Linked DNA regions of Caenorhabditis elegans. The protein of the gene in region 2 interacts with the protein of the main gene of each other region in a biochemical or structural test. Each region holds a gene or a part of one and is shown on either strand. Other genes may lie near its edges.

Region 1 (7,274 bases), on a different chromosome or scaffold from region 2:
TTTCGATCGTTTTGATCGGTGGGGTTTCAAGAACAAAAATTGGAGAAAAAGTTCGTAAAAAAAGTCGTTAAAAGGGTACATTTTCTTGTGGTCGAGGTGATAAGAGAGGAGATAAGACGATAAAAACAAGAGTGAAAGATCACAGAAAAGGCGTCAAAAATCGGAATTTTTCAGGGGCTTATTAGTTTGCGCAGGGGTTGTGGTTTCATATTTATTTTTTGAAGTTTATATAAATTTAGTTATAATTTACAATAAGAATCTACAAATTACTTGAAAAAAACAAAAAAAAATAAAGAATTGAAAAGCTAAAAGGGTTTTAAAAAATTTTCAATAAAATTTACTATTTTTTCTCAAGTCTATTTCATTGTTTTTTGAATTTTCCTCAATGAGGCTGAGAAGATCACTGAATAATTTTTGGGACAAAAAAACTGATGGTAATCGCACTGAGACCCGCTAATAACATTTAGAGCTCAAGAACATGAAAAATATCAAAACCAAAAACACCTCTAGAGAAGCCTCTGACCCTTCGGCGTGTAGGACGAGGCACACAGACACAAAGTTATGAGACAGTTTCGTATTGGAAATCCTGTGTCTCTTATCATTTCACACTCTCTCACCACTCTCTTTGTTTTGTCACTGCAAGCTTCCCACAGACAGAAAAGTGCAAAGTGAGAGAGAGAGGAGAACATTATTGGATTTTCATTTTTTGCGCTTTTTCATACATACTTATTTATTTACAGTGTGTTCTGTGTGTGTGTGTGTGTGAAGATATCGTTTAAAACATATTTGATTTAGATTTCGAATCGAAGAACAAATTGCAGATATAAAGAGAATTAGAGAAATAAGAGGAAAAAAGTTTAGAATCGAAAGGAAAAGTCTCTAGACAACCACTGCTGGCGGTGTTTTTGGTCGGACAGCGTCACGGACACTCAGTCGGTCCGTGGTTCGTTCCATGGATTGACCAGATGTGTTTGATTGGAGAGTTGGACTTCTTGTTCTGAAATATATGTAGGTTAGGTTAATCAGATGGTCTTCTAGGAATATAGATTTAAAGGAGCATAACATAAATTTTGAAATTTCAAAAAGAGGGTATACAACAGGAGTGGACTGCAAACGATTTTTTTCTGACAAATCGGCAAACAGGTAAATTGCCGGAATTGAAAATTTCCGGCAAAAAAAAACAGCAAATTGCTGATTTAACGAATTTGCCGGAAAAACGGCAATTGCCGGAAATTTTTAGCAAATTGTGTCTGCACTTTTTTTTTGGAAATTTTACAATTTCAATTTTAATCGGCAAAACTGTGATCCTTTGAATGTTCCTTTATCTATTTTGAAAAGTAACAAATTCTATGAAAATATCTAAAGAAAACGGGAAAAAATTCAAAAAGGCACAGTTTTAAATGTTTCTTATAAACCGTCTTATAAAAAATCCCTCTAAAAACTTCCGGCAAGTTGATGCTCGAGAAACTGCAAATTGGCAATTTGCCGAAATGCTAAAAAAAATTTTCGGTTGGCCGGAAATTTTTATTTTCGGCAAATCGCCAATTTGCCGATTGACGAACATCAATTTTTGCCGGTTTGCTGATTCGCCGAAAATTTCAATTCCGACAAATTGCCAATTTGCCGGTATTGTAGTTTGCATACCTTGATGGGAACAATGAAGAGGTGTCCGATGCGCCTGTAGGACTTCTCGATCGGACTATGGTAGACATTTGAGATGTCGATGTTGGGCTACGGGGTCTAAACGCAATCAATTAATATTTAATTCTTTAGAGTAAGATACCTTATAGAGGAGGATCGTCGCGAAGGCTTTGTCGACTGCGAAAGATCCGTGGGGCTACGTGGTCTTCCGGAATCATGGGACACGTCGGTTGGCGATCTAGGACGATGTCTGAAAAATTACTTGCTGAAGAAGCGTCCACAGATCTCACGAACCTCATGAAAGTCGACGGAGAGTCTCCGGCCATTGGACTCTTCGGTCGGCAGAACGACATTTGCGACGTCGGCCTGCACAATGACAACTGTGAGACGTCGCGTGACATGTTCGGAGTGATCATGGAGCGACCGGGCACTGTGAGTGTGTTGAAGCTGGACCCGTAGATTCGGTGCTGGTTGCGGGTCGACATCATGCTCGCCGAAGAGCACGATCCCATACGAGAGCGCATTTCTTCCACGCCCTGAAAGTTATTTATTAGAACTTGGATTGAAGGATTAAAAGATTAAAGAATTAAATACAGAGCAAAAAAAAAACAAAGAAATGATATTGTCATTCTTATTTTTTAAACCAAAAGGGTTTCAGAAAAAAGATTCTATTTTCAAACCACTCCATGCAAAACTCTTCATACCCTCTTTCAACGGATCACCACTATGGACTCCTGAACCTTGTTATATATTTTTTAAACAATGCTCCTACAATAATTTAAAAAAAGAGAGTTTCACCCACCTGAAGACGACTTTTCATTCTCGAATAGGCGGTCTTGAACGTGGACCGGAAATTCTGAGAAATGAAGGCATACAGGATAGGATTAATGCATGATTGGCAATAGGTCAGCGCATTAAATCCCATCCGCATATGCTTCAATGTCTGCGTATTTGATGTTCGACAAATGTACCCGAAGGACGTCAGAAGCTCGTCGACGATCGTTGGGAGCCAGCAAACCGTGTACATGCAGACGATGGAGATTAACATTTGAACTATCTGGAAGTTCAAAAATTTTAAGTATAAGTAGTTATTTCACGTATAAGTTTTTTTAGAGAACATTGATTCTAGATTGGGTCTAGAAATGAAAACTGAAAAAACGCTCTCAACCGGAATTGAGTTTTTCTGCCCAAATTTCAAACAACTGGTCCTTTGTACACAATATGGCTTATCTATAGTTTTATCTAAGCAGCCTGTCTGCAGATATAGTAGCCTATGTTCTGCCCGCTTGCTCTGTTGGCCTCCCCTCCTGCGTAAGAGGTGATTGTAAATGAGAGACGTTCGAGTCCCTAGCCACTGAGGGATTGCTCAGTGGTATTCTTGAATTCACTAGTCATAATAAATTACTCGGCATTCAGAGGCAACTTCTTGCCACACTTTGGCAACTTATTTAGTGCCACTAAAATAAGTTGCCGAATTGCTGGTAGGAAGTTGCCGAGTTGTTGGCAGGAAGTTGCCACGTAGTGGCAGCAAGTGGGAAAGAACGCTCAGCAACATCTAAATGTTGGCAGGAATGTGCAAAAGTTTGGCGGGAAGTTGCAAGTAAGCAAAGTTTGGCAGAAAGTTGCCTCTGAATGCCGAGGAGCGTTCTTTCCCACTTGCTGCCACTACGCGGCAACTTCCTGCCAACAACTCGGCAACTTCCTGCCAGCAATTCGGCAACTTATTTTAGTGGCACTAAATAAGTTGCCAAAGTGTGGCAGGAAGTTGCCTCTGAATGCCGAGTATATGATTATTAGGACATAACACAAACTAACTGAACGATGATTCTAGATACAACTTCTCTGTTTCACTGTGAACTAAAACGCTAAATTTTTAAAAGTCATTTAAAGTCGCGTAATGTCAACGCACCTGTTTCTTATTCGCCTCTGCCACGCGATTATTTCTGTGATTACTGTAGGACTTGATGGTCGTGTTGGCGGTTTTCAAGTTCCGGGAAGTTGTAATCATGGGGATTGCAGAGTAGCCGGAGAAGGTAACGGCGTCAGTGGCGGCCTTTGAAAATGCGACCCTGAAATGGTGAATAGTTGGTGAAGGTGAAGATGGAAAGTAATAACTCACATAGCTTGGGAAAGTATTACACGATCTTTCGACGACTTGTACACTATTGCAGATACACGAGCATAACATATGGACATTGTGAGCACCGGGAATATGATAAGTAGCAACAACTGGAAATTGAAATATTCATAAAAATTTAAATTTGAATTTCTAAATGTTTGTCCCAACCTGATACATGGCATATGCTTTATTCAACGATGTCCTAGGATATCCTAAAAATTGCGCGGGAAACCGTCTTCGACACCAATGCACCCTCTGCCCGGACAATGAAAGATTGGTCTCATAATCCATCCGAACAGCGGTTGGGACGGCCAGTACCGCGGATGACATCCAGATGAGTAGGATTACTTTTTTAGCTCGTCCTATGGATGAAAACCAGATATTTCGCATAGGATATGCTATTGCAAGAAACCTCAAAAAACCCATTTTTAAAGGAGCATAATCTCTCTTTTCTCTAACCTCTCAAAACTAATCATAGTCATCGTGAGCACCGAGCAGAAGCATGTAAACTGTTGAATGTAGTGCACAGAATAGCACGCAAACCTGCCCATCGACCACGTATGCGACATATACTTCATGAACATTATAGGCACACAAAACCAGATAAGGCACAAGTCGGCGGTGCTGAGCGAGGCGAGAAAGATGTTCGTTACGTTGCGCATTCGTTTGAATCGGTTTACAACAAATATTACCTAGAGGAAATATGATGTTTAAAATATCCATACGGGGGGACTCACCATAGAGTTTCCAATAGTTCCAACTAGAAAAACAGTGAGATATAAGAAGCCGGGAAGAGCGATCTCGAACAACTCCTCGTCGGTCATTGAGAAGAAAACAGTGTCATCGGGTACAGTGCAGCGAGAAATGCAAACCTATAAAAAATTTATGTTGGGGGTGGAACTAGGAGGTTTGATAATCAGGGCATGGTGGGATTTGTCGTTGGGAAATGGGCTTCAAAAAATGTTGAACTTTTCAGAAATGGACTATTAGGCAGCTGCTGAGATGATATAACAAATCTCATTATAGAAATTTTTCTACATGAATTGATAGCTGTGACCTAACGCTTTTTGTGAAGAGTCTATCGGGGGTACGCAATTGGCGAAATTACCGAAATTGCCGAAAATTCGATTGCCGCGCAACCCTGAAGGTTATACCAACATTTACTAAAATGTTGGATAGTCATAACTTTGCTAGACTTGGCTTACCTTGCTTTACCAGTTTTACCAGTTTACCACAGTCAGCACAACACTTGCAGTCATCAAAGCAACGATTTTTTCCGGCAAATCGGCAAAATGCCGGAATTGAAATTTCGGCAAACCGGAAAATTGTGGGATTTGAAAACTTCCGGTAAGTCGGCAAATCGGCAAATTGGCGATGTGCCGAATTCGCCGGATAAACGGAAATTGATATCCGGTAAATCGGCAATTTTCCGAAAATCAAAACTCCCGGCAAATCGACAAACCTGCAGTTTGCCGAGTTTGCCGTTTGCCGAATTGGCAGTTTGCCGAGTTTGCCGTTTGCCGAATTGGCAGTTTGCCCAGTTTGCCGTTTGCCGAAGTGGCAGTTTGCCGAATTTTCCAAAAATTTCCCTAACGGCAATTGTCGTCCACCTCTGACCCTTACATCGAATGAAATTTGAAAGAAAAAAAAACAATAAAATGAAATTTGAACTCTACCGAAAAAATAAAGAGGAGCATATTACTTACCTCAAGATACTTGTGCAACGGATGTGTGCAGTTGCAGTCCATCGCAGTCATGTTACTCCAGTCGAACGTTTCGTCATACTCGTAATCGAACGTCGTCTCCTGCACCATGTAGCATGACGGATCATCTCCGTCTTCGGACATGGACGTCTGCAAGTGGGCATATATTGATAAAAATTATTAGTAATACTACTATTAAGTAAAAAGGTTAATAATATTCATAAGGAAGAAAATAGCAAAAAAAAAGTGGCTTGGAAAATTTTGACGCTCCAGTTAACCCTATCAAAACATAATGTCCATGCTTGAGTTACTAAATTCAACTTCAAAAATTAAAAAAAAATTGAAAAACCAATCAATATTAGTTCTATCCGTGTGTGTATAACAACATGATAATATCAAATATGTGGCGAGTGCCCATCGCCAATCCTCAACTAATCCGTAGCCAGTATTTTCCAACTGATATCCATCGCGACGTCGTGTCTTATTATCAAGGGTGAGGAGAAATGAAACAAAAAACGGATTTGGCTCGCGGAGCACACAAAGTGTAGGTGAGTAGTTGGTTGAGCTCTGGGGCTCGATGGAAGAAAAGGAGAAAGTAGAGAGGCAAGAAATTGATCAGGAAATCTTATTAGAATCGCCGCATAAATTAGTAAGGTGTATGCGCGGTGCGGTGGATGTATATTTCATTTGGTTGGAAGTTTTTTTTTCGACAACGGTTGGGATGGAAGAAAAGTTGCTTGCATAAATTGATGGGTGAATGGAAAAGGGAGTTGCTTGTGAGGAATTTGAATTTTTTGTTGAAAATGTTGTTGAAAGCTGTCAGGGTTTTATCAAAACGTAAAATGTTTGACTGAAAGTTGACAAGAGTTTGATGCCTCGGGATTTTTTTTGTTAAATTTTTTAACAGAAAGACAAGGGTCTGGTGAATCACCATATTAAAAAAAAGTTTTTCAAAAAATTATCAGTTTGAGTTTTTAAACATTTCTGACCGCCTACAGTGTTTTAAGTCGGAGCCACTTTTTCAGGTTCAGGACAATGTCTGAAAAAATAAAAATACAATTTCTTTCATCAAAAAATTTTTATTCCGTTTGTTTTCAAAATATTATTGGGAAATTTGAATTCTCGTCACTCTCAGCTTTAAAGTGACCCCCATAATGCTCAGGTTTCGCTAATTTTGAATGTTGGCAGTCTCGACACAGCTGAAGCCGGTGCCACAGTACCCAGCTTGGCGAGAACCGAAAATTTCAAATTGGCTCCAACCAGGGCATGATGGTGGTCAAATTAAAGCTAGTGAAGTGGGGAATTTGAATTTTAAGTCAATTTGGGGAGAAATTGAAAATTGAATCAAATGTTTGAGCAACAATGTTTTTTAAAAAATTTGGCTCGAAAAATGTTATTCAAAATCTATCTAAAATTTAAATTCCTTATATTACCAGCTTTTTATTTAAAGAAATAATTACAAATTTTTCGAAAATTTGTTGTAAGTTTTTTTTCAGGCTATATGATATTCAATAACTTAAATTCTAGTGGCTTCCAGCATAACCTCTATAAAATTCCTAGAATCTGCGTCACCACATTTTCAATTTTATTTCCATATTTATCAAAACAAAACCGTGGTCATTGAAAAAAAAATCTGACATATAATGACCAAACATCGAAAATCCTTTTGAAAACAACAGAAAATAAATCAATTTTTTTAGTTTTCTGAAACAAATATCAAGTTTAAATTGTTATTATAGTTTTATTCGAAATTTTGTGCATATTCGGAAAAAAAAGTGTTCTAGAATATGTGTAAACTGTCTGGAAATTTT
Region 2 (3,360 bases):
TTTGAGAATAAGCTAATTGGATAAATTCTGAAATGCGACTTTCAAAAAAATGTTCAAAAATTTAGATCAAGTTCTTCGAAAAATTTTTTTCTTGATGAAAAATTTGTTCATATGAGTGCATTATGAGTTTAAATGTTCAAAATACATTGAACTGTTAGTCCTCTTTCAGACTATTCCAGCACATTCTCGTGAAAGCCAAAAGTTTCCAGAAGTCTTTACTTTGTTGCAGAACTTTCTAGCAGTGTCGAATAATGTTTAGGTGTTCTGCTTACCATATAAAACTTTTCCGTAGATTCCGCCTGAAAATTTTAAACCACTCTTGCTTTAGCTCATATCGTACACTTGGTAAGAACCAAATGTTGTACGAACCTGAAAATTTATAAATTTTCAGCTGCTCTCCTTGACATCACACAAATTTCCATTAACGTTTTCTTAACGTTCCTGGGCATATTTATTTGTGATTTGATTCTGATTCCAAATTTTTTCAAATTTCATCTCAAAGTCTCTTAGGCAATTGAAAGTTCATTCAACAGATTTATTTATTAGTAGGAGAGTAAGAGTAACCAAGATATCGAGAAGGGTATATGGCGACAAGTGGAAGAAAGTTATAAAAAATTATGATAAAAAAGTTGTGAAAAAGAGAGAGATGAAGTGTTGCTTGTTGTGTGTTAGCCGCGGATTGGATAAAATTTCTGAAATACGGCGTTCATCCTCCTCAATTAGTAATCGTCACAAGTGCTCACGTTGGTATCGGCTGTTGGTACTTATTCGATCTCACAGTTGGTATATTGTTGGTAGTGTTGTATATATTGGTAGGAATTCTGTTAAAGAAGTCTCAGTCTATTGCGGCATCTCTGAAAGATGTGAATATACCTATTAAATCCAAGAAGCAATTAACTAACCGTTCTTGGCGTTGACGAGACGATCCCGGAGCCAGGACATGCTGACGCAGTCTGAGTTGGCAATCAACGCTTCGTCTTCGATATTTCGGATAAGGAGCTCCATCATTTGAACTTCGCGGGCTTTCTAGAAAAAATAAATTTGAAGTAGCAAAACTCAACAAAAATTATTACCGCATTATCAATCATTGGTTGTTGTTCCGCAATCATCGGATGACCTCCGGATCTTTTGAGCATGATTCCACGACAAGCTGGTGCAAACGAGAATTTTCTAGAAGAAAACACGGAAACTTGTTTGTTTTAAATTGAAATCTACACAAACCTGCAATCCAGTGAGTAGTACAGTGGAACAAGAGCAAGAAGGATCATCAGAAGTGGGGTGAAGCGCGCCATTCTCCAAGTGTTGTCAAAGTGAGCGTGATGAAGAGTGAGGTCTCTTTCGCCGATCGCTCCTTTTATCTACTGACTTTTTATTCACGCCACGCCCCTCACTCCGTAGATTTTCAGTGGGATTTTGCTCGGGCTCCGCCTCTTCTGCATTTTCTCCAATGACCTCAACAATACTTTCTCAGCGAGATTAGATTTAACAACGCGAGGAAAAATTATTCAAGTGCACTGAAGTGATATTGTTTTCGAGAAACAGGAATCTGATGACATGTTTCGTTTTGAGAAAAGTTAAAAAAAGTAATATGTGCACGGAAATTGTACAAAAATAGAAATGTGTCATGTGTCTAAAAAAGTTAATTCGAAAAAAAATTATCTCAATTTTTGCTACTTTTTTTGGAAGTCGCGGATCAAAAAATACTAATTTCAAACTATATAGTACTCATGCTTTGACTAACAATACTTCAACATAGTAAGGATCCGCACATGCGACAATGCTGCAGTTTTTCAAAAAGTGGCAAAAGCTCAGCAATTGCAACTTTTTGACTGCCAATTTCAAAAAAAAAGAAGTACAAAAAAATTCGTATCGAGACTGAGCCTGCAATCGATTTTCCTAGCGTCGGTGTTTTACAGTTGTGCAATGTTTAAAGTACAAGAAGTATCAAAAATTTTATCAAAATATTATTTGAAAATGTGGCGGTGAAAACAATCAATAATAAGCATCGACTCTATCATGGCGATTTAGTGATTTTCAATCGAATTGCTTTGTTTTTCGACAAAAGCTTTCTTAGTTTTACTGAATGTTCCTATTATTGTGATTGGGTAAAACAGAATGCAATAACAATCACAAAAGTTAAACTTCTTCTCTGTAAATGAAAAATTCATAACACATTTCTAACGGATTTGATTAATCTGCTCATATTTTTGATATTCATACTATATTTTGTTCCATAGATTTTACGATTGTTTACTTTTCCAAACGAAGATCTTTCTAAATACCAATAAATTATTCACAATGTTCATAATGAAATCTGAAAGGCAAAGAAACAGAATTTGAAATTCTGTTTCAAGAAGTTCACATCATTTATAATATTGTGGTTTGTATATCACTTTTGTATGTGCATGGAAAACTGCTACTTTTTATTAATTAGAGTAAGAGTTTGAGAAGAATAGTGGCGCTACTAAATTCATATAACTTTTTTTTTTCATTAAGCACACGAGGGCCTCTAATGCGATAATACGCATTGTGCCCGAGGTCAAACATGTTGCAAGGGCTGCATTTTTAATTGGAAATTGCAGTTTTTGAAGATTCGCATCCAGAACTTCCGGCATGTTCTTTTTCAAACTACGGTCAAAAGTTGCTGGCGCGTGCATGTCAGAATGGAATCAGATTAGGTTTTATGATTGTGTATTAACTTAATTTCCGATGCTTCTAGAGTGTCTGAATAGCCTAAGGCAAGGTGTCTTCTTATGATGACCCTTTGACGCATTTCCAATAATTATGACTAGATACTTTTTCAGAGAAATTCATTCGATCGCAAATATACATTACAAGAACAGGGTTACAGAAAGATGAATTATTGGCAACAATAAGCAGTCCATTTTCCCTGTACGCATGTCGATTTCTCGGGACAGAAACTGAAAAATCCAAAGATCAGAACAGTGTCATTTAAAATATTTGTGCAAATCACAAATGAAATGCTAATTTTAAAGGCTAGGTATCTGAAATATTTTTCACCTGTTCCGAAGTACTACTTACTTATGCGAACAACTACGTCCAATAAGAGGCGTCATTCCAAACCATTGCTTGAATTGGACAACTTGACCTTTCAAACACTTTGGTGAATTCTCCTTGTTCCATTCGTCTGAAAGTTCGACCAAGTGGAAAGCGATGGGTAGACTTATTTATAGCGTGAAATTGTCTCGTTTGAAAATTTATTTTTACACTTCTTTTCTAATTTATTAGTACAAAATTGACGTTAAAGTGCCTATTCCTGGAAGGAAAATTAACTTTACTATAGGAATGTGCAACATGTTTCCCTAGTTGGGAAAATTAAAATTTTCCAAATATTCAAAA

Evidence for each region.
Region 1: the proteins of snet-1 (region 2) and npr-34 interact in a test that uses a peptide from one of them, tested with the Caenorhabditis elegans proteins (one large-scale study listed by BioGRID).

The regions. Positions count from the first base shown.
Region 1 is NC_003280.10:14,733,631-14,740,904, forward strand, and holds npr-34 (G-protein coupled receptors family 1 profile domain-containing protein), read right to left. Parts: upstream 5,614-7,274; 5' UTR 5,608-5,613; coding exon 5,467-5,607; intron 4,633-5,466; coding exon 4,498-4,632; intron 4,453-4,497; coding exon 4,220-4,452; intron 4,173-4,219; coding exon 3,929-4,172; intron 3,871-3,928; coding exon 3,761-3,870; intron 3,711-3,760; coding exon 3,551-3,710; intron 2,699-3,550; coding exon 2,444-2,698; intron 2,178-2,443; coding exon 1,936-2,177; intron 1,892-1,935; coding exon 1,784-1,891; intron 1,741-1,783; coding exon 1,645-1,740; intron 998-1,644; coding exon 880-997; 3' UTR 775-879; downstream 1-774.
Region 2 is NC_003284.9:3,667,580-3,670,939, forward strand, and holds snet-1 (Protein snet-1), read right to left. Parts: upstream 1,364-3,360; 5' UTR 1,293-1,363; coding exon 1,222-1,292; intron 1,171-1,221; coding exon 1,074-1,170; intron 1,027-1,073; coding exon 903-1,026; intron 855-902; coding exon 841-854; 3' UTR 521-840; downstream 1-520. Other genes in the region: BPTI/Kunitz inhibitor domain-containing protein C02F12.5, read right to left, coding at 2,861-2,921, 3,043-3,148. UniProt on the Caenorhabditis elegans protein: Negatively regulates chemotaxis and olfactory plasticity which is the change from positive chemotaxis to dispersal after prolonged exposure to an odorant. May be down-regulated in response to pheromone exposure, resulting in promotion of olfactory plasticity.